Drosophila melanogaster: one gene and its partners. The protein of the gene in region 1 purifies or fractionates together with the protein of each later gene. This does not show direct contact. Each region holds a gene or a part of one and is shown in the gene's direction. Other genes may lie near its edges.

Region 1 (8,287 bases):
CAGACTTTCAAAAGATACGGACGGAATCCGACAGGTACACCATGCCAAATATCTCAATGATTTTGGTCGATCTGGTCAAGACCAAACACTTTACGACGCTCAATCTGAAGTCCGGCTACCATAATATCTCGATCGACGATTGCGAACGCGACACAAGTATGAGTTCCGTTGACTTCCATTTCAGTTACGTCTATGTTAATGATGTAATCAGCTTTTCAATTGATGAGGATGCCCATATTGGCAAGACCAAATACTTTACGACCCTCGATCTGAAATCCGGCTAACATAAAATTATATTGAGTGTTTCTAAAGTTTTCCCAAGTCAAATAAACAAAAATTGTTCAAAAGTGTGGGCATGGCTTGGGGGGCTTGTAGGCGTTAAAGTGAATGCAGCAAAACGTTTTTTGGCAGATCGATAGAAACTTTTAAGTCTAATATGTATATGAAAGAATTTCAAATTTTGCAAAAATGTGGGCGTGGCAATTTTGGGCAGTTTGTGGGCGTTAGAGTGGAAATTAACAAGAGCGGTAGTGTGACTTTGTCACTAGAATCTGTATGCTTATTCTCAGCTTTCTTCTAGCTTTGATTATAGTTTATGAGATCTCGACGTTCATATGAACGGACAGACAGACGGACAGGGTCAGATCGACTCGGCTATTGATCCCGATCAGAAATATATATTCTTTATAAGGTCGGGAACGCTTCCTTCTACCTTTTTCATACATTTCAACGAACCTAGTGTACCACTTTATTCTACGAATAACGGGTATAACAATAAAGTAGAAAATAAAAAAAATAAAATGTAATATTTGTACAGTTTATTAATAAAACGATACTTACTTCCATAATAAAAAGACAAATTTAAAAGCACTCAGAAAATATTTTGGAGACACAAGAAAATACTGACGAACCTAACGATTCAAAATTGAAAATGCAGGTAAGAGAAACGCAACAACAAAAATGCTTGCGCTAGTTTTTCTGCTTGTTTTCGCTTTACCATTTGCTTATCGTAAGTACTGAGTCAGAACAAGAAAGAATGCTATAGTCGAGTTCCCCGACTTTCCCAACTCGCTACTTAGCTGGTGTGAATGCGAAAGCAAAATTTCATAATTTTTCTGGGATATCGATATGGGGTATAAAATGAGAAAAAATTAAAAATCGATAGAAATTTACACGACTTATAAAACTATGAAAAATATCCAAAAATGGTTCAAAAATGTGGGCGCGGTAAAGTTTTTTGGCAGGTCGATAAAAATTTACACAGCTAATAAAATTATGAAAAAAATATCAAAAAAAAATTTCAAAAATGTAGGTGTGGCAGTTTTGGGCGGTTTGTGCGGTTGTTAGAGTGGGCGTGGCAAAATGTGTCGACAAACTTTCGCTTCGTTTATATCTCCAGAAACTGTATGCTGAATCGCAAACTTTCTAGCTTTTATAGTTCCTGAGATCTCGACGTTCTACGGACAGTCGGACATGGCCATATCGACTCGGCTATTGATCCTCATCAAGAATGTACAAATGTACTTTATATGGTCGGAAACGCGTACTTCTGCCTGTTACATACTTTCAACGAACGTACTTTAAGATACTTTATTTTCGAGTATAATTTTCAGGAAATGAATTCATTTTACAATCAACAATATAGAAGCAATCATTAAAGGTAACTTGTTGTAATACATTGGAAGTGGAATTATTCCGGAATTCTGGATGCATTCCCATAAATGCTTCTGTAAGCATTCTCTTTTTATATTTTATTCAACTAGAAGTATATAAATTGATCAGTAGCCGTGTTGGTTTATTTTGCTTATTTATACTATGATAGACGAAAGACAAAAATCTGTATTGGGAATAATTAATACAATTAATTAATATAAATTAATTAATTAATTAATTAAATTAATAATATAAAAGAAGAGAGAATTCAATAGTCGAGTTCTCCGAGTATCAGATACCCGTTACTTATGTACTGGGACTGCGAACGCGAAATGTCATAATTTTTCTGGAATTTCGATATATTATTGTTATATATGTATATTGCTTAAAAGTGAGAGCGTGTCAGTTTTGGGACGTTAGTGGGCGTTAGAGTGGGCTCTATGTCTGTGGAACCTGTATACTTTATCTCAACTCTTTAGCTTCTATAGTTGAGAGATCCCGTTGTTGATACAGTGGACAGACAGACAGACGGACATGGCCAGATCGACTCGGCTATTGATCCTGATTAAGAATATACAGGCTACTAAATTTTGTTTGTAAAATTTGAGGTGGGGTCAGAAATAAATTTTTAATAACATAACTAAGTGGGAGAATGATATTATGGTGATGTGGAATAAACATCAAAAGACTACTGAGTAAACTATTTTTATATTTTTTGATATAAAAAAGATATTTACTTTTCATTTCGGCCAGACAAAAGTGCCGGTTTTACAAATCGAAAAATTGTTATCATTTCAAAAACCTCAGCACCGATTTTTCGATTGCAAATCGAAATCGTAAGATACGTTTTTTCTTACTTTTCAACAAATCTAATACACCATTTTACTCTAGGAGTAACGGGTATATACATATAGTACATTGTAATTTATTGAAAACCATGCACGCGTTTATGTTATGGAAACAACCTTTTTTCTTGTTATGTGGATAAAATATCACTACACAACAATTATTTCTCACAAACTCTTCCGAACTTTCCACTGGGTCGCAAAAAATGGAAAGTGGAATAAGGAACATCGCCAGCTTAGACTGCAAGTTAGATTATGATTAGGCTCATAATATATTGTCAAATGCAGGAGTTTACACCACTCAGGCCCTATTAAAAGAAAATCATTGTAAGCTGTACTACAATTGTTGAAACGAACTAATTGCTCCACATAATCATGGAAATTAATTTTGGCTTTTTGTTAAAGAACTCTATATTCCTACATTCCAACAAAGCTGCCTTGTGCAGCGAGTAGGCTATTATTAACTATATTTGAAAACAAAACTAAGTAATTTATCGTGCTAAGAATTTACATGATACAATTTTATTTTATATTGTATGTATTAAAATTTGTTTCATATTTAGAAAAAAAATATTAACACTAAGGTTCAAATAAACAAATTTTTTTACTATTCATATTTAGAAAACATTTCCGTACTACGGTACATAGTCAATGTTAGCCATAAAAAGCATACAAAAATGAACGAATTTGAAAGAGAGCGACAAGTAACTTTGATTAAAACATATACATACATAGTAAATTGTGTCTTAATATTTGAGCTTAAAATAAAAACAGAAAAGTCATCAAACTTTACTGGAATATTCAATTTTATTCTAAGTATCGGATTTTCACATATGTCAAAATTTCCAACTGTTTCTTTAGGATGTGCTCTTTGGGTTTTGGGTATTACCAGTTGTCAAAATAGTGCAGTTAAGCCCGAAATAAATATCGATAACGATATAGGAAAATTGATTTCTCTATTTTTGTGAATTCGGTAAATTATCAAAATTAAAGATTGGAAACATTGGTTGAAATGGCGTCCGCAGGTTAGAAATTTTTTTTATAATATCTAAGTTTAAAGTTTAAATTTTTTTTATTAATTGTAAAAAGGTAGTAATTTAATTGTGAGATTGTGTGGTTCCGCATGGATTTTTTCTTGACACGTAATGTAAAAGGAACACATGTCCACCTGCATGCATATGTGTAATCTTGCTTAACATAATATTTTATTGTATATATTGGTTGGTCATCATTTCTACTTAAGTATGTATTTCAATTTAATATTTTATTTTATTTTTCAGGAAAGAAGGGCAAAAAGAATAAAGGAACAGTTATCTCCTTGCAATCATTTCTATGTAATTCTGACGCTCCAGTCGGAACAACCCAAGTCTCAAAAAAAATACGAAATTTAGATGGCGATGATAGCGATGATGGAAGTGGTACATTGCCGTTGGTTTATCAGCTTCCAACCGCTCCGAGGGCAAATCGGATATTCGACGATAATTCTATTCCTCATAAAGCCCCATTTATTGCTTATATCAATAATTTACCATTTGACGCAAATGAAGATGACCTCTACGAGTTCTTTGAAGGTATTAATTTAATATCTCTGAGACTACCAAGAGAAGATGGCGAAAATGGTCGTTCCAGAGGCTTTGGCTATGTGGAGTTGGAAAATCGAGAGGATTTAATTCATGTACTTAGCTTGCCAGACCCCTCTATTAAAGGTCGCCGCATTCGCATTGAGCTATCGAATGAAAACGACCAGCAAAGCCGCCAAAAAAGTAATAGGCGGTTTGATGGTTTTGGAAATAATGGAGATAATAGGGATTCCGGAAATTGGAGGCGAGACAGCCAAAACAACGGCAGTAACTTTGGTTATTCTTCCAATTTTGAAAGAAGCTTTAATAGAGAGAGAAAATCTTTACCAGATAGAGATGATGTGAACACTCCTGGATCTTGGCGCACGAGCGCAAGGCCGCAATCTATTGATACTTCCCCTACACGCAGAGAAGTTGAACAAGTATCTGAAAAATATCGCGAAGGTCGAGTCAAAATAGCAGACAGATATTCCCGAGAAGAGACATCCAAAGTTGAAGAAGAAAGGCCAAAATTGAATTTAAAACCAAGAACTTTACCATTGCCAGATGTAAAGACAATTGAATTCGAAAAATGTGACGTTGATGAATTTAATTTGGATAAACAAGGCGGAACTTCATCATTAAACGTGTTTGGGTCTGCAAAACCGGTAGATACAGCAGCAAGGGAGTTGGAGATTGAGCAAAGATTGGCTCTCGCTCGAAAACAGGATAAGGGGCGCAGAGAACAGGGTTTAAATGAAAAACTTGCCGAGCTCCAGGTGGATAAAAATGATAATGAAAGTCTAAGTGCAACAGTTAGTTGGCGCACGAATCAGGACTACAAGGAAAGCGACAAAATTAATAAGTGTCCAGGTAACTAAAATCTAAATATTTGTCTGAATGTAGAAGTGAATTTTATCTGACTTGAGTTTTTAATCTAATCAAAAAGCATAATAATAATAAATAATCAGAGGAGGAGGAAATATACAACGCCACATAAAATACAACAAATTAACATTTTTCGAAAATGTGGGAGAAGCCGTAATTTGGCAAATAATCAATAACGTATCTCCTATATATTTGGTTTTCACCGTGCACCTACTTTTTGGGTGCCGACAAAAAATGCGATGTCTGTAAATTATACCATTGCTTAAAACCCAAACCACAAAAAATACTGTATGCGGGCTTACTTATGCGAGAACACGATTTTCAAGCTGGAAATATTTTATTTAAAAAAAAATCATAATTAACTTGTATTATTCTATTAATAAAATTCGAGTTGCACAAAATTATTCAAATAGTTGGTATTTTCATATATAATACTTAATATTAGTAATGTGCACTTCAGATACATATGTATTGTATATAATGTGTGTTCTCCATATTAAATTTTTGATATGCTACAGGCAGCATAATTTCCTTCTTTCAGAACTCAATATAAACTATTGTGGGCATCGGAAAATAATTATTTATTTTTATAATTTAGGTAAATGTAAATGTAGTTCCAAAGTTTTTATTTATATTTTTTTGAAGATGAAATCTGATAGGTGACGTCCCCCATTCTCCATACATTGCGTAAACCGATTTCTGGCGTTTGTCGTGACTCTTGTTAGCATAGCAGGTGTTATGATGATGATGGTTTTCAACTCTTTTAGCGTTCTTGGACGGTTCACATAAACACGTTGTGAAATTCCTGCACTATCGCCATCTCATACCGATGGAATTTAAGGTCATCATAAAGAATTCTTCTCCCAGAACGATCGGATAGTCATAGTCAAAGGTCAGACGCGTGTTTGAGCGCAGAACGCTGTGGAGATCGCAATATTGGCGCTCTCACTGCTTCAATGTTCTCAGGTGATCTAACGGGTCGAGGGACTCCAGTTCTTCGTTTTGTCGCGCTTGCAGTTTGCCTGAATGTAGTGACCCATGTAACAATTGATTTGCGTTCAGGGACAGGAGCCAACAGTGCTAAATTAAAGCGATACCGAAATGCACGCTGTGTTTTAATAACCGAACATCCGCTTGAAAAGTAGGCCACAACGGCAAAGGCGCGCTCCTCACTATTCCAACGCAAGATGGCGACTGAACCGTGTCGGGACAAAGCTTTGCAGTAGCCCCTCTTGAACGGGGCCATTAGTGCTCCGCTATGACATCAACTAACTGAATGGCGCGCATTTAAAAAAGGAAGTTTTGCTGCCGCACCCTGTATATACAATATGTATGCACGGGTGCGGTCTAAATAATACTAAAGCCGGTCAAGCAAAAAGTTATTTCTCATTATTTTCTCCATTCCTTTACTTAATTAATTAAATTTTTTCACTTTAGTAACTTAGCAGTTATTGACCAAAAGGTGAGATCGTTGCTTAGGAGGACAATCTAGGATTCCGACTTTCGGGTCTGTTTCTTCGAAAAATGTAAGTTTATTAGTAATTAGAAGACGACTCGATCCAGATCCTCATTTCAAGAGGCCAAAAAAAAAAAGCGGCATTACTCAGAAAAAAACATGAAGCCTAATGATTTAGGTTTGCGTGAGATCGCTTGAATTGGTGCAGAGGAGTAAAATCTTGGGGTCGGTTAAGGCGAAAATATTTTTGTTTTGACGGCAGTGACTCAAGTTAGTATTTTAGGTGACTTATAGGATCAAAACCATCACTGATCGTTATCTATACGTCGAAACATTTAAGAAGGTGATGCTCCCATATGCATTAGAGGACGTTTTAACAATACAATGACCAAAAATATACAAGTACACTTCCCAAATAGTGCTTCGTAGCTAATCCAGTCTATGTCATGGAGTGGCCTAATGTGTTGCGCTGGGAGAAGTCTCGGTCATAAAAGCAAGTGATAACTTTTAAATTTTGCAAGATGTAAATCTGGAGCCCGGATGTAATGGAGCTGTGCGACCTTAAATAAAAACTAAGGATATGGAACAAAATACTACAATAACCATAAATATGCCCTTATTTAATCATTCATTCAGTCCTGAAACTATATTCTGGCTGTAATAATTTTTAAAATATTAACTACTATTATTTACTATTACTTTATGACCGGGTAATTTTTTTTTCCTATTTCACATTTATATTTTTAATCATTTTTCTTTAAATAAGCAAATGAACTATCCTAACCGTTTTTTTTTTATTAATACCATCTTTTATTACTTAAGTTTCACTGATAATTTAAAAACAAAAATTTTAAAACGTTGCAAAATTTGTTTAGTTTTGTTCTGTTAGTTTGGTGTTTGGTATGTATGTATAAATATAATATAAATGTATTATAATTTGACGGATATTTGCTTCTTCGTCTTCACTGTCTATGTTAAGTGGCACAGCAAGTAGCTTGCGCGTTGTCTGTTCAATCGTTCTCACTAGACTAACTTACGTGAGAATTGCTCTGTCACTTTTTTTCATATTTCGTCGTCATTTTTGTCACCATTAAACTCTGCCAAACGACACTAGGCGCCATGCTCATTTGAGTATACCCACAAATGCCCTCTTAATAACTGTAAACTCTCCCTAATCAATAATCGCTCTTTAATCTTAATAACAATAACATATGTAGTTTCAGTTACATTCAAAATAATATGTTAGACCTACATGTTCTCCGACACGACATACATGTCATACACTTAAGATAACATTTTATTTTTTTATCATTCAGTTTTTAACTTACCATAATATTTCATGTTTCTATTCAATTTTCTGTAAACAATATCATCGGCATCCCTTGCCTTGCTCAAGCTCTTTTAATTTTACATCTTCCTAATTTTTTCTGATTAAATCGAACAGTATTCCACCATTACTCTGTCTTTTAGTGTATCTTGCAATGCTCTCACGCATCTTCATGCGTCATAGTCCCTCAGGACCCGCATAGTCCCCACCATATAGTCACTGCGCAAATAACGATATGGCTAAGCTATAATAGCTCTGTAAATGATTTAACCAGAGTCTATGGCATTTACAAGAGAGCGATCTCTCGCATTGGGCCGCGTCTAGCTCAAGAGGCATCGACTGTAACTGTTCGCGGTCATAATTATACGTTCTCTTGTCAAAGATCTCAACATATATACATATATCGATCCCCACAAACGGGCCCTTAAACTTTGGGTCCAGCTATGTTTGCTGCCGTTTTTCACTCTTGGCAGGACATCGTGGTCTACATGAAATCGTACGACTTTAGCTTTGTTTTCATCCAACCTTTGTTTATCATATTAAGTTTCCTATCATAAAG
Region 2 (7,048 bases), on another chromosome or scaffold:
GCTATTAATATTTTAAACAAAGACAAAGTTCCGCAGCCACTATTCAAAATAGAACTCGAACCAGAGCTCCAGGCACTAAAGAAAAACGAAGTGCACCCAATATACAATTTACAGTACTTGCTACATCGGAGGATCACCGTGGAGGAGCCGCACAAACGTATCAATCCAGTTCAATGTACTAATTGCCAAGAATACGGCCACACCAAGGCATACTGCACCCTTAAGTCCGTATGTGTTGTCTGTAGCGAACCTCATACTACCGCAAACTGCCCCAAAAACAAGGACGATAAGTCTGTGAAGAAATGCAGTAACTGCGGGGAAAAACATACTGCAAACTACAGAGGCTGTGTGGTGTACAAAGAATTGAAGAGCCGCCTAAACAAACGTATTGCCACAGCACATACATACAACAAAGTCAATTTCTACTCTCCGCAACCGATTTTTCAACCACCCCTAACTGTCCCAAGCACTACTCCAACAATTTCTTTCGCTAGCGCCCTAAAATCCGGACTAGAAGTGCCCGCCCCACCGACAAGAACTGCTCATTCCGAACATACACCGACAAACATCCAACAAACACAACAAAGTGGCATCGAAGCTATGATGCTATCCCTACAGCAAAGCATGAAAGACTTCATGACGTTCATGCAAAATACTTTGCAAGAGCTCATGAAAAACCAAAATATCCTGATTCAACTTCTTGTATCTTCAAAATCCCCATAATGGCTTCCCTACGGATATCTCTGTGGAACGCAAATGGCGTTTCACGGCATACACAAGAGCTCACACAGTTCATTTACGAAAAAAACATCGACGTAATGCTACTATCAGAAACGCACCTCACAAACAAAAACAATTTTCATATACCAGGATACTTGTTCTATGGTACAAATCATCCAGATGGTAAAGCTCATGGAGGCACTGGAATACTCATCAGAAATCGCATAAAACACCACCACTTAAACAATTTTGACAAAAACTACTTACAATCTACGTCCATAGCCTTACAACTCAACAATGGTTCAACGACTCTAGCCGCAGTCTACTGCCCACCGCGCTTTCCAATCTCTGAGGATCAATTCATGGAATTCTTTAACACACTAGGTGACAGGTTCATCGCAGCGGGTGACTATAACGCCAAGCACACCCATTGGGGATCTCGACTTGTGTCGCCAAAGGGTAAGCAATTGTACAATGCGCTTACGAAGCCAGAAAACAAGCTAGACTATGTATCCCCGGGTAAGCCTACATACTGGCCAGCAGACCCAAGAAAAATCCCAGACCTGATCGATTTTGCAATTACTAAACATGTCCCCCGCAACATGGTCACCGCCGAAGCACTAGCAGACTTATCATCAGATCACTCACCTGTTTTTCTAAATATGCTAACTCGCCCCCACATCGTCGACCCACCGTATAGACTCACAAATTTTAGAACAAACTGGCCAAGGTATCAAAAGTATGTCTGTTCACACATAGAACTAACGACGGCATTATCTACAAAGGAGGATATAGACAAGTCAACGGAAACTCTTGAAAACATTTTAGTTTCGGCTGCAAAGGCTTCAACCCCGCCAGTGACGTATGCAAAACCAAACTACATCAAAACTAATCGCGAAATCGAGCGGCTGGTATTAGATAAACGACGCCTACGAAGGGATTGGCAGTCTAATAGATCACCAATTACTAAGCACATGCTTAAGATAGCCACACGCAGGCTTACCAATGCTCTCAAACAAGAGGAAAAAAACAGCCAACGTTCATATATCGAGCAACTCTCTCCCACCAGCACTAAGTACCCTCTTTGGAGAGCTCACAGAAACCTAAAGACTCCAATAGCGCCAATTATGCCACTACGAAGTCCCTCTGGCACCTGGTTTCGAAGTGATGAAGAAAGAGCCAGTGCTTTCGCTGACCATTTACAAAATGTATTCCGACCAAATCCCTCTACCAACACATTTATTCTCCCTCCTTTAATAGCAGCCAATCTAGATCCTCAAGAACCCTTTGAATTCCGACCATGTGAACTAGCAAAGGTTATCAAAGAGCAACTGAACCCAAGAAAATCGCCTGGCTACGACCTAATAACTCCAAGAATGCTCATTGAACTCCCAAAGTGTGCTATTCTTCACATCTGCCTGTTGTTCAACGCAATCGCCAAGCTTGGATACTTCCCTCAAAAATGGAAAAAGTCGACCATAGTAATGATTCCAAAGCCAGGAAAAGATAAAACGCAGCCATCATCATATAGACCGATAAGCTTACTAACATGTCTTTCAAAGCTGTTTGAAAAAATGCTACTCCTTCGGATTAGCCCTCATCTTAGAATAAACAACACACTTCCAACACATCAATTTGGCTTTAGAGAAAAACATGGAACCATCGAACAGGTCAACCGAATCACGTCAGAAATTCGTACTGCTTTTGAACATCGAGAATACTGCACAGCCATTTTTCTAGACGTCGCGCAGGCATTTGACAGAGTGTGGCTCGATGGACTTTTGTTTAAAATAATCAAGCTGTTGCCCCAAAACACACATAAGCTACTGAAGTCATACCTATATAACAGAGTGTTTGCAATAAGATGCGATACAAGCACTTCACGCGATTGCGCAATCGAAGCTGGAGTGCCGCAAGGCAGTGTACTGGGTCCAATCTTATACACCCTGTATACGGCGGATTTCCCCATAGACTACAATCTAACAACCTCCACGTTCGCTGATGATACCGCGATACTCAGTCGCTCGAAATGCCCAATAAAAGCCACGGCACTCCTATCCCGACACTTAACATCTGTAGAACGATGGCTTGCCGACTGGAGAATTTCAATAAATGTTCAAAAATGCAAGCAGGTTACCTTTACCTTAAACAAACAAACATGCCCACCACTGGTCTTGAATAACATATGCATTCCACAAGCCGACGAGGTAACATATCTGGGAGTTCATCTGGACAGGCGGCTCACTTGGCGCAAACATATAGAAGCCAAATCGAAACATCTTAAACTTAAAGCAAGGAACCTCCACTGGCTCATAAATGCTCGCTCTCCACTTAGTCTGGAGTTCAAAGCTCTTCTATACAACTCCGTCTTAAAACCTATCTGGACTTATGGCTCCGAGCTGTGGGGCAACGCATCCAGAAGTAACATAGACATTATTCAGCGAGCACAGTCAAGAATTCTGAGAATTATCACTGGAGCGCCGTGGTACCTTCGGAACGAAAACATACACAGAGACCTAAAAATCAAATTAGTAATCGAAGTAATAGCTGAGAAAAAAACGAAGTATAACGAAAAGCTGACCACCCATACAAATCCCCTCGCAAGAAAACTAATCCGAGTATGCAGTCAAAGCCGGCTGCACCGCAACGACCTCCCAGCCCAGCAATAAACTTATTAGGGCATTAATGAAAAAAAAAAAACTATCACTAAGTGAAAGTTAATTAAGTTAGATTAAGATTTGAACACTTATTGTTAGTCTCTTAACACAAAGGGAAGATTCAATAAATAATAAAAATTAAAAAAAAAAAAAAAAAAAAAAAGAGAAGTCACAGATTAGGATAGATTGGATTCAGTGACTGCAGTAAAGTGTGATTTTCGCATCACTGCCGGCTCCACCGCTGATGGTGGCAACCCTGGCCGCTGTCACTTGCTTTTTGGTCCAGGCGTGTTGTGTAAACGCTGGCCCCCATTTCAGAATCCCAAATTCCGGCGCAAACTGTCCGGAATTGTACATATCTGGATTAACGACTTCACCTAGGACATGCTAAATCTCCTACGAAGGCGCCCAACGTCGGTGCCCCTCATCCGGGCCGCGCTTAGCGCTCCGCTGCACTCAACGGAAAACCGGCCGGGTTACATAGTGCTGTAAGTACGAAAATTACCCGGATTCAACATGTGGAGTCACTAAACCTATCCCCGCAGGGTACCGGAGATCGGTGAGGAGGGACCGCTAGGCGAGGGCGTGCTCAAGCCGGACGGACTTCCCGCCTTCAGTGACATCACCATCGAGATGTGCTTGGGCGCCATTGGTCAGCAGGCATCGGCGGTGGAGAACTCGGTGAAGGCGCTGGAGAGCGACCTGCACAGTGGCAAGCAGCTAAATGCCGCCAGCATCTTTCGGGAGCTGGACACCGTGACGGGTCCACTGGAGACGACATGGGGTGTGGCCAAGGCTCTGTACCTGGGCAATTCTACCCTGATACCCACCAAATCCTACATGAACATCCACGAACGAGCGCGTAACGCTCGGGCAGCGAAGTTCTGCAATCAAACGGTGTATAAGGCACTCAAGGATGCTTCGTCCGATTCGGGTCCAGATGAGCAGAGGATGCGACAGAAGTTCCTGCTCGAGGGCAAGCTGAACGGGCTCACGCTGGACAAAGATAAGCAGGATGGACTGAAAGAGCTGCTTACCCATTTGGGTCGAGAGAGAGCCAACTTCAAGAACAAGGTCAACATGGCAGTGCACTCGTTTGGACAGATTATTACGGACTTCAATCTTGTAAGAGATTTCCCGCCTTCGCTTCTTGAGGCAACAGCCCGCGATCCCGGACAACCTATGACGGGTCCTTGGAAGATAACCCTACAGCCTCAAGTGGTCGATGGTTTTCTAAAGCACTGCCCAGAGCGAATGCAGCGTTGGAACGTCTGGAGGGCCAGTGTGCTGAAGGCATCCTCGCAGCAGGAAAAATCCCTGGAGAACAGCACACACATCGAAAAAATACGCGGTTTGCGCAAGCGACAGGCAAATCTGTTGGGCTATGAAAGCTTTGCAGACATGTCCATGCAGACCAAAATGGTGGGCAGTGTGGACAACCTTAAGCAGATCTTTGCCAAGCTTCTCAAGTTCGCCGGCCCTGCTCAAAGTGTGGAGCTGGAGAAACTACAGGGCTTCGCTCAGGACAGTGGCTGTGAATACAAGCTGGAAGCCTACGACGTTGCCTACTGGCGGCGCAAGCAACTGGCGGCGGAGCACGGTCTCCAAGATCAGAAGCTCCGCGAGTTTTTCCCACTGCCCCGCGTTCTTTCCGGCTTGTTTGCGCTGAGTGAAAAGCTCTTCGGCATCAAAATAGTTGAGCAGCCCAATGCGGAGGTGTGGCATCCGGCAGTTAAGTTCTACGATGTGTTCGATGCTGATTCCGTCAATAGCTCCACCCCGGTGGGTGGCTTTTATGTGGACTGCTATTCCAAGGAGCACAAGTTCGGCAGAAACAATGGTTGGATGGTGGGCATACGGAACAGCAATAAGTCTGCCGGGCTGACGCCTCTCTGTGCGCTGATATTTAACTTTTCGGAGCCACAAAGTCCGGATGCCAAGCCCCCGCTTCTTGGATACGATGATCTGCAGATGCTCTTCAAGACTTTTGGAAGCGGACTCCAACACCTGCTCACCCAAGCGGGGTACAGCGATTTGGCGGGACTCTCAAACATCGAGTGGGATGCCTCTCAAGTGTCCGGTCATGTGATGAGCAACTTCCTCGACGATCCCACAGTGATTCGAAGCCTATCCGGACACTTTAGCAGCGGTGAGCCCTTGGAGGCTGAGCTTTCACAGAAGATGCGATTGCTGAAGACTCAGTTGGCTGGCTATAATCTGTGCCAGGACCTCTACCTGGCGGATCTCGACGTGGAGCTGCACCGCTCGAATGCCTTCTGGCTGGAGGTGGTTCGCAAGCTGTGGCCGGTTTATCAATGCATGCCGCTGGACAAGAAGGACGCACATCCGTGCTCCCTGACCGACATTTTTGCCGGAGATTGGGCGGCCGCCCAGTTCAGTCACTTGTATTCCCGCCTCATAGCCGCCGACATTTCGAGCAGCTTTGCTGAGCAGCGAAGCGAAGAGAACTACGCGGTCGTTGGCCGGCGCTACAAGCAGACCTTCCTCAGCTGCGGCGGATCTGTGCCCACGGCGGAAGTGTTCCGTCGCTTCCAGGGTCGCGACCCGTCGGCCGAGGCACTTCTAAAGTCGCTGGACATATTTGAACCCTCCCAGACCACAGATAACAACTGAGGGTCGCCCTCTGTTCCGCTAAAACGTTATCTATTGTGTGTAGTCAACAAATGCTGATCGATGGCAGCCTGTGGAGGCCCGACGAGTGGCAACCTTATAGGAAAGTAAGCATTGGAGTATTGGAAAATATTTTAAAATAGTTTTGAAATGTATTCTGTTAAATATTTGTTTATTGGTCAAGATCCCACTTGTACTTATTTAAAAGAAAGTATAGCCGTAATTGAATGACCCCAGCCAGGAAACTGAAAACCAAAAACGATTGATAAGGGCTTTATAAATTTTGGAAGTGTAACTATTAAAACAAGAATTCTATACTTTACGCCTCCACGATTTATTAGTCGGCAATTCGATCTACACCCTAATTGGCAGCCGGATGTGATAGCGATCGCGTGAGTCAGGCGGGATCTTATCGCAGGTGTGCAGGTGGTGTCGCCAGGCGACATCGTCAGTTACCCCAGTTGAACACACATACACACACACGTTGTTGCTTTATTTAAATAATACTTTAATAATAAATTGCATAAATTTATAACATTTAACATATTCTCTCGCTTCTTGCTCGGTTCTCTCGATTCGGTTCGATATATTTATATACACAACAAAGGCGAAGTATGCATTCAGCGGAAAGGAAAAAGACATCTAGGGGTTTGGATGGAAACCGAGGATTAAGAGCTATCATCTGTCTTGGCCTTCTGTTGGAAAGCCACTAGAAATGGTTAACCGGTAGTCAGGAAGAAATAATCAAAGTACATTTCGACGCAGGGGTATGGATTAAACTTGGTTAGTTTACAGGAATTAATTTATATATATATATATATATAAATATGCTCTAGATCAAAGTGTGGTACTACAATATGCGTATGTGCTGCTCCGAAATCAGTCGGAGCGTGTCCCGCTGTGGTGTGTTAGTTGTGTGTGGAGGCTGGATATCTGAAAACTTTAGAATATTCGCTAAGGCTGCTATGTGTGGTAGTGGCTGCAGTTGCTCCCTTGGCTGCTCCGTTGGCTACTGCTGTCTAGTATATGTCCGGACAGCC
Region 3 (5,563 bases), on another chromosome or scaffold:
AAGGTGGAGGGACAAACTCTGTCCGAAATGGTGGAGCAAAAAGTGGCTGCCTTAGATAAGATGGAGGACGAGGTCTTTGCAACCGGAAGAAAACTGAAGAAGCTCAACAAATCCAAACGCAAACGCCTACTGCAGTCCATTAACTTTGAGGAGGTGGACGAGCACAACTACGATGAGGTTATTAGCAAGGCTCTGCCTCCTGAGCTGCAGAAGAAGGTGAATTACAATGCAAAGGTGCGTTCTAGCATAAACAACGCATGGGTAGTAGAGGAGGTCAAGGAGGCCGAGCCCAAGTCGAAGAAAGCAAAAAAGGAAGAACCGCCACAGCAGAACAAAGATGACCAGACGAAGGTGAAGAAGAAAAGCCAGCTTAAGCCGAAGAATGACCAGTCCAAGCCCAAGATAGAGGATCAACCGACCTTGAAGGCAGAAAAAGAAGAGCCTGCGAAGCGCAAGAAATTGGACCACTCCAAGACGAAGGAGGAGCAGTCGAAGCCGAAGACAGACGAGCAGCCCAAGCCCACACCTAAGGTGGAGGGACAGTCCAAGGCCAAGCCGACTCCCAAAACGAAGGCTGCCGGTGTTGATGATGATGCTCCGACCAACGGATGGGATGCCCCTTTAGAGGACGGTGAGCAGGACATCTTTGTTCCCTCTCGAAAACTGCAAGTGAAGCAGGCCAACAGTAAGCTGCCGCAGTCCACACCCAAACAGCCTGCGCGCGCAGAGTTTGCGACTCCACAAACGGGCAGTGGCAAGCATGTGCGGATCGTGACTAAGAGCAACTGCATCTACCCCAAGAGCGATTACTACCGCCAGCTGAAGCTGTCTCCGCAGGTGCCCTACGACGCGAATCGGTTGCCCGGTAAGAGTGCCCTTAAGCCACACTGGATACCGGGACCGATTCATCCGAGCTACAAGGCCAAGCGCTTGTTCAACGACACTCTGTGACAAAGCGTCTAGTGGCAGCGACTGGGATTGGGACAGGATGAGGAAGATTAATTTGGACTTAGTGCTCTGAGGGACGATGAAGAAGGGGGAGCGCTTCGCATCATACTACTTCCTTATAAGGCAGTATAAGATAACACATCCACAATAGGCATGTCTTATGCTGGTTTTATAATACGTCTATACACACGAAAGTTTCCATGCTATATTTTTCTATTTTACAATGTTAAAGCCCTTTTGTTTAGTTTCGAGAGCACCGTTACTATGCTTAAATATTTCAATTTTCTAGAATAGTTGAAATTTACGATAGTTCCGTGTTGCCTTGACTAATTTCTACTCAAATAAAATCCGTATAAGACATGTACTAAATGTAATCCCCTAATCTTTTAGTAGTTACAATTACGACTTAAAATACTATTGCTTGTAGGCCATTTTATGTTCAAGCTATCCTCTGATCTGAGTTGAAATAAAAGCAAACGTAGTATATGTAAAATCAAATACGAATCACAAAGTTTATTTAATTACCAGGTACAGAAAGAACTAAGTAATTTAGCATTTTGATGGGCTAACAATTCCAGCTTTCAAATTTCAAAACTATATTTTTTCGAGCAGAGAATGGGGAAAACGAATGTATATCAATAGCTATTTGATAGTTAATAGCTTATTATTATACCAACATTTTGAAAATAAATATGTCATTATTATTTTATATCATGGTTGGGCAAAAGAATCGTCAAAATACTGCTCATGACTCTTATGAGCTTAGTCTGTTCCACTCAAAGCCACATATTTGACTCACTCAGAACTGCGCTTGAGTCTTGAGATTGCAGTTAACATTCCGTTAACATTCACTCAATTGGTAGTTGAGCTAAAAAAAACTGCATTTAAGGGAGGAATATGCAGCTAAGAGAGTTAAAAACACCCACTCAATCAAAACACTCAATTGAGACAAAAAACTGAGAATGAGTTTAAAAAGTTGCAGAAATAATACTCAAATGTTAAATGCCATTTTAGTGACACTTATCAATGCTTAAAGTTACTGTGGTTAGACTAATTTAATATGTTTAATTCTCTGAATTATATTTAATATATGGAACTGTATTATTGGCATGGAAGCATTCATATAGTCACAATTAAATTTTCTTAAAATTCGAATTTTTTATGACTGGCATTTAATTCACACCACAAGGATTCGATTAATGCTATATATTAATATGTTAATGCAATTGCTTATACTTTATCTATTTAAATTGTGATTGCAAATTGCATAAGAACCATCCTTTGATGATGGCATTTTGCGGTTGGTATATGTATTATTGGCGCATAAAAAGCGATTCATACGGATGCACAGCACAATTTACAAACAGTTTTGATCCCATTCATGCAAAATGAACTTCCGATCCGCCCAGCACAATTGGTTGAATAATAAATTTTCATAATAATTGAATATTTGCCACCGCAAGGGGGAATCGATGGCGAGTGAAGAGGGTGTGACATGTTCATAAATCTGTTTTAAGTGGACGGCCAGCAACAATAACAGGATTCATTTCCTCGAGGATAACATCTGTTCAGAAGTGTTGCAACACGATGGAACAAATTAAGTTTCGCACAGGACCAGCAGGCAGGCACAGGACACGTTAACTTTCTACACATTTGACGCATGTACTCTCCTCCTGGCATTCTTGTTCGCCCACCTCAGGGTCCTCGATTCGAACTCATACCTCACAATTCCTGTTGACAATCTGCTTAAGTTGCGTAAATCTCAGCTAAACAAGTCGGTGCATCAAATATATATATATATATATACATTTGTCCAGATGCTGAAAGCTGGGTGTTGTCTATCGAATGGCAGGCAAACTGCAGATTTCTGCCCGGAAAAACCCAAGCCATCTTGTCGCCACCTCATTTTCCTCAGAGTGTTGTGTGCATGTGCATGTCTGGTGTATTAAACTTTGTCGAAATTTTATTCAATTTACGTGCACTTAGGCGACGATTGTACATTAAGATATGACACAATCCCTAAGCCAGTGCACAGCTGATCCGCATCCTCCCCCACTTTCAGTCCCATTCGAATGTAATAGATATGGATACGTGTAAGTGGCGGCAGACTAAGGAAAGTGCCAGATACATCTGCGTAATTGGGCATAGAGTGGATACCCTTTCCAAGGGACAACTTCACAAAGTATCTTTAAGGACAGAACTATCTATCAAATCTATCTTTTGCTAGAACCAATAACTGCAAATACCATTTGCTGGCCTAGAATGTATTATAAACTGTGATTATATTTTCTCAGTGCATTGCCGCCGAAACCAATTGTCATATTGTCCAGGTCCAGCCCCTTTTTTCCCAGCACAATGTCGACTATTTTTAGCACTTTAATGGATCGCAATCTATTTTTTGCCCAATCAAATCGGTGTGTACGGCTTGAACTTTGGCGAGGCTATAAAAGCCATCGGTCGCCCAGTTGCGCAGTTCAAGTGCAAGGCGAAGGCACCTGTTCAGGGACGGAATCGGAATCGGAATCCTCGGATATGTGCTTCTATCGGATTGTGGTCATCTGTCTTCTAGGCTCCCTAGTGCCCTCCATAGCGGCATCCAAAGTCTGCGGACCGGAAAAGCATTGCGTTCCCTACGAGCAGTGCAACGAGGGCTTAATGGTGGACGGAAAATTCTATCCGGATCGCAGCAGAACGACTTTGGATGAGAATTGTCACTATATGGAAAAGTGCTGTAATATCCCCGATAAAGTGAGTATTGAAAAAGTTACGATTTTCATAAAGTTTTCCGGAATGCGGTATCAAAAACTTGACTAAAAAAATGGTTTAAATCGCATTGGAATTAAATCAAATAAAAAAACAAACAATCCTTGATTCGACGCTCTTAAATTTAATACCTTTTGGATTTTAAACCGGTTGGCTTTCTGAATTGCAGCCACATTTAATGATTAACTGGTTACAACCGGTCAAAAAAATAAAGCGATTTATCGAAAAAATTCTTTTATTCCCTACCTGATGCAAAGAAATCAACCATTTTTTTATGCTAGCTGACAATTTAAATTTGTATGATATATTTTACCCATATTACGAAAAAAATTCGTTTGTTTTTCAGTTTCTAGCGGCCAAGCACTTAACACTGTTGTTATATTTAACTTAATTTCATTTAATTGCCTGAAGTAAAATCAAATCAATAAGTTTTTAAAAGTCGAACTTTTATACCAACAGCTCCCGACTCCGAAAATTCCAGAGGAGATGATGAGCTGCCCGTGTGGAGGACGCCATGATCTCTGGTACTACCTTCGACCGCTGGGATATAAACAGCAAGAGGCCAAGTTCGGGGAGTTTCCCTGGTTGGTGGCGGTCTACGGGTCGGATACTTATCTCTGCAGTGGAGCACTTATCACTCCGCTGGCGGTGATCACCACCGCGCACTGCGTTCAGAATTCGGAAATGGAGAAGGTTCGTCTGTTGGCCGGGGAATGGGATGCCGCCGTGGAGCTGGAGCCCCAGCCGCACCAGCAAAGATCGGTTGTTGAGACATTAGTGCATCCCAATTACACTCAAATGCCATTGGCCCACAACATAGCGATACTTCTGGTGGACAAGGAGAAACCTTTCCAGCTGGCTCCTAATGTACAGCCCATTTGCTTGCCGCCTCCGCGAATAATGTACAACTACAGCCAGTGCTATGTGTCCGGTTGGCAGAGGAGTGATTTTGGTAGAGCTGCAATCCTGCCCAAGCGTTGGACACTCTACGTCCTACCACCCGATCAATGCAGGACCAAGTTGCGATTGTCCCTCTTGGGGCGACGCCACGCCCACAACGATAGCCTGCTGTGTGCCGGCGGCGACAAGGGTGACTTCGTCTGCGGTGATGTGGACATGACCGCTGTGCCGCTGATGTGTCCTCTTTCCGGTCACGATGATCGTTTCCACCTGGCCGGTCTTTTGACCCGCACGGCTCGCTGCGATGGCCCGCAACTTCTTGGAATTTACACAAACGTCAAGTTGTACCGGCAGTGGATCGATTTGAAGCTAAGGGAACGCAATCTTGATATACGACACTACATGGTGTGAAACAATTATTGAGAAACTAATAAAACATTGAATCCATTATCAAACACATGAATGTGTTTCGTGTTACCTATGGTATAAGGTAGTAATATTTCATTTCGATGGACTTTAAGCAGCTTTCGTGACCAGCTTTCCTGATCAGATTATCAGATATGTAATATAATAAACTTCTACTGACCCATGACTATCGGCAAGGCTTTGTCACTTCAGTAGTGTTCCTACTTTGAGTGGCCTCCATGGACACCCAACTTCTTTGCCTGCTGATGGTCAATTGCTTCAATATAAACTCCAGGAAAGAGTCTTACAAGGAAGACATTGTGCATGTGGACTGCACTCTGTCTTCTTCCTAATAAGTTCAGAGATTTTAGAAGAAGCATCTGCTTCCATTATTTCCATGCGTGGCGTGCATCATGGGAATCAGTTTGGATGTTCTGCTGATGTCGGAAAATCTAAAAAATAAGTTTTAGAATTACCTTCTGGACGGATTCGTAAATAAAGCTTCCATGTCGATGGGTGCTTAGTTCGTCGGTAAAGCAGAATCGCT

What was found. Proteins that work in one complex are often made in the same cells at the same time.
Region 2: the proteins of eIF4B (region 1) and CG11771 purify together in Drosophila melanogaster (affinity purification with mass spectrometry, with the first as the bait; one large-scale study listed by BioGRID). This does not show direct contact.
Region 3: the proteins of eIF4B (region 1) and CG9377 purify together in Drosophila melanogaster (affinity purification with mass spectrometry, with the first as the bait; one large-scale study listed by BioGRID). This does not show direct contact.

Annotation. Positions count from the first base shown.
Region 1 is NT_037436.4:27,853,427-27,861,713, reverse strand, and holds the start of eIF4B (eukaryotic translation initiation factor 4B), read left to right. Parts: upstream 1-3,442; 5' UTR 3,443-3,510; coding exon 3,511-3,523; intron 3,524-3,778; coding exon 3,779-4,930; coding exon of another isoform or gene 4,931-4,938; exon of another isoform or gene 4,939-5,006; coding exon of another isoform or gene 5,007-5,011; exon of another isoform or gene 5,012-5,348; intron 5,349-8,287.
Region 2 is NT_033777.3:24,928,372-24,935,419, forward strand, and holds CG11771 (uncharacterized protein), read left to right. Parts: upstream 1-3,638; 5' UTR 3,639-3,761; coding exon 3,762-3,865; intron 3,866-3,922; coding exon 3,923-6,011; 3' UTR 6,012-6,548; downstream 6,549-7,048. Other genes in the region: Osbp (oxysterol binding protein), read right to left, coding at 7,028-7,048.
Region 3 is NT_033779.5:13,359,401-13,364,963, reverse strand, and holds CG9377 (uncharacterized protein), read left to right. Parts: upstream 1-3,398; 5' UTR 3,399-3,480; coding exon 3,481-3,696; intron 3,697-4,170; coding exon 4,171-5,022; 3' UTR 5,023-5,063; downstream 5,064-5,563. Other genes in the region: Nnp-1, read left to right, coding at 1-951.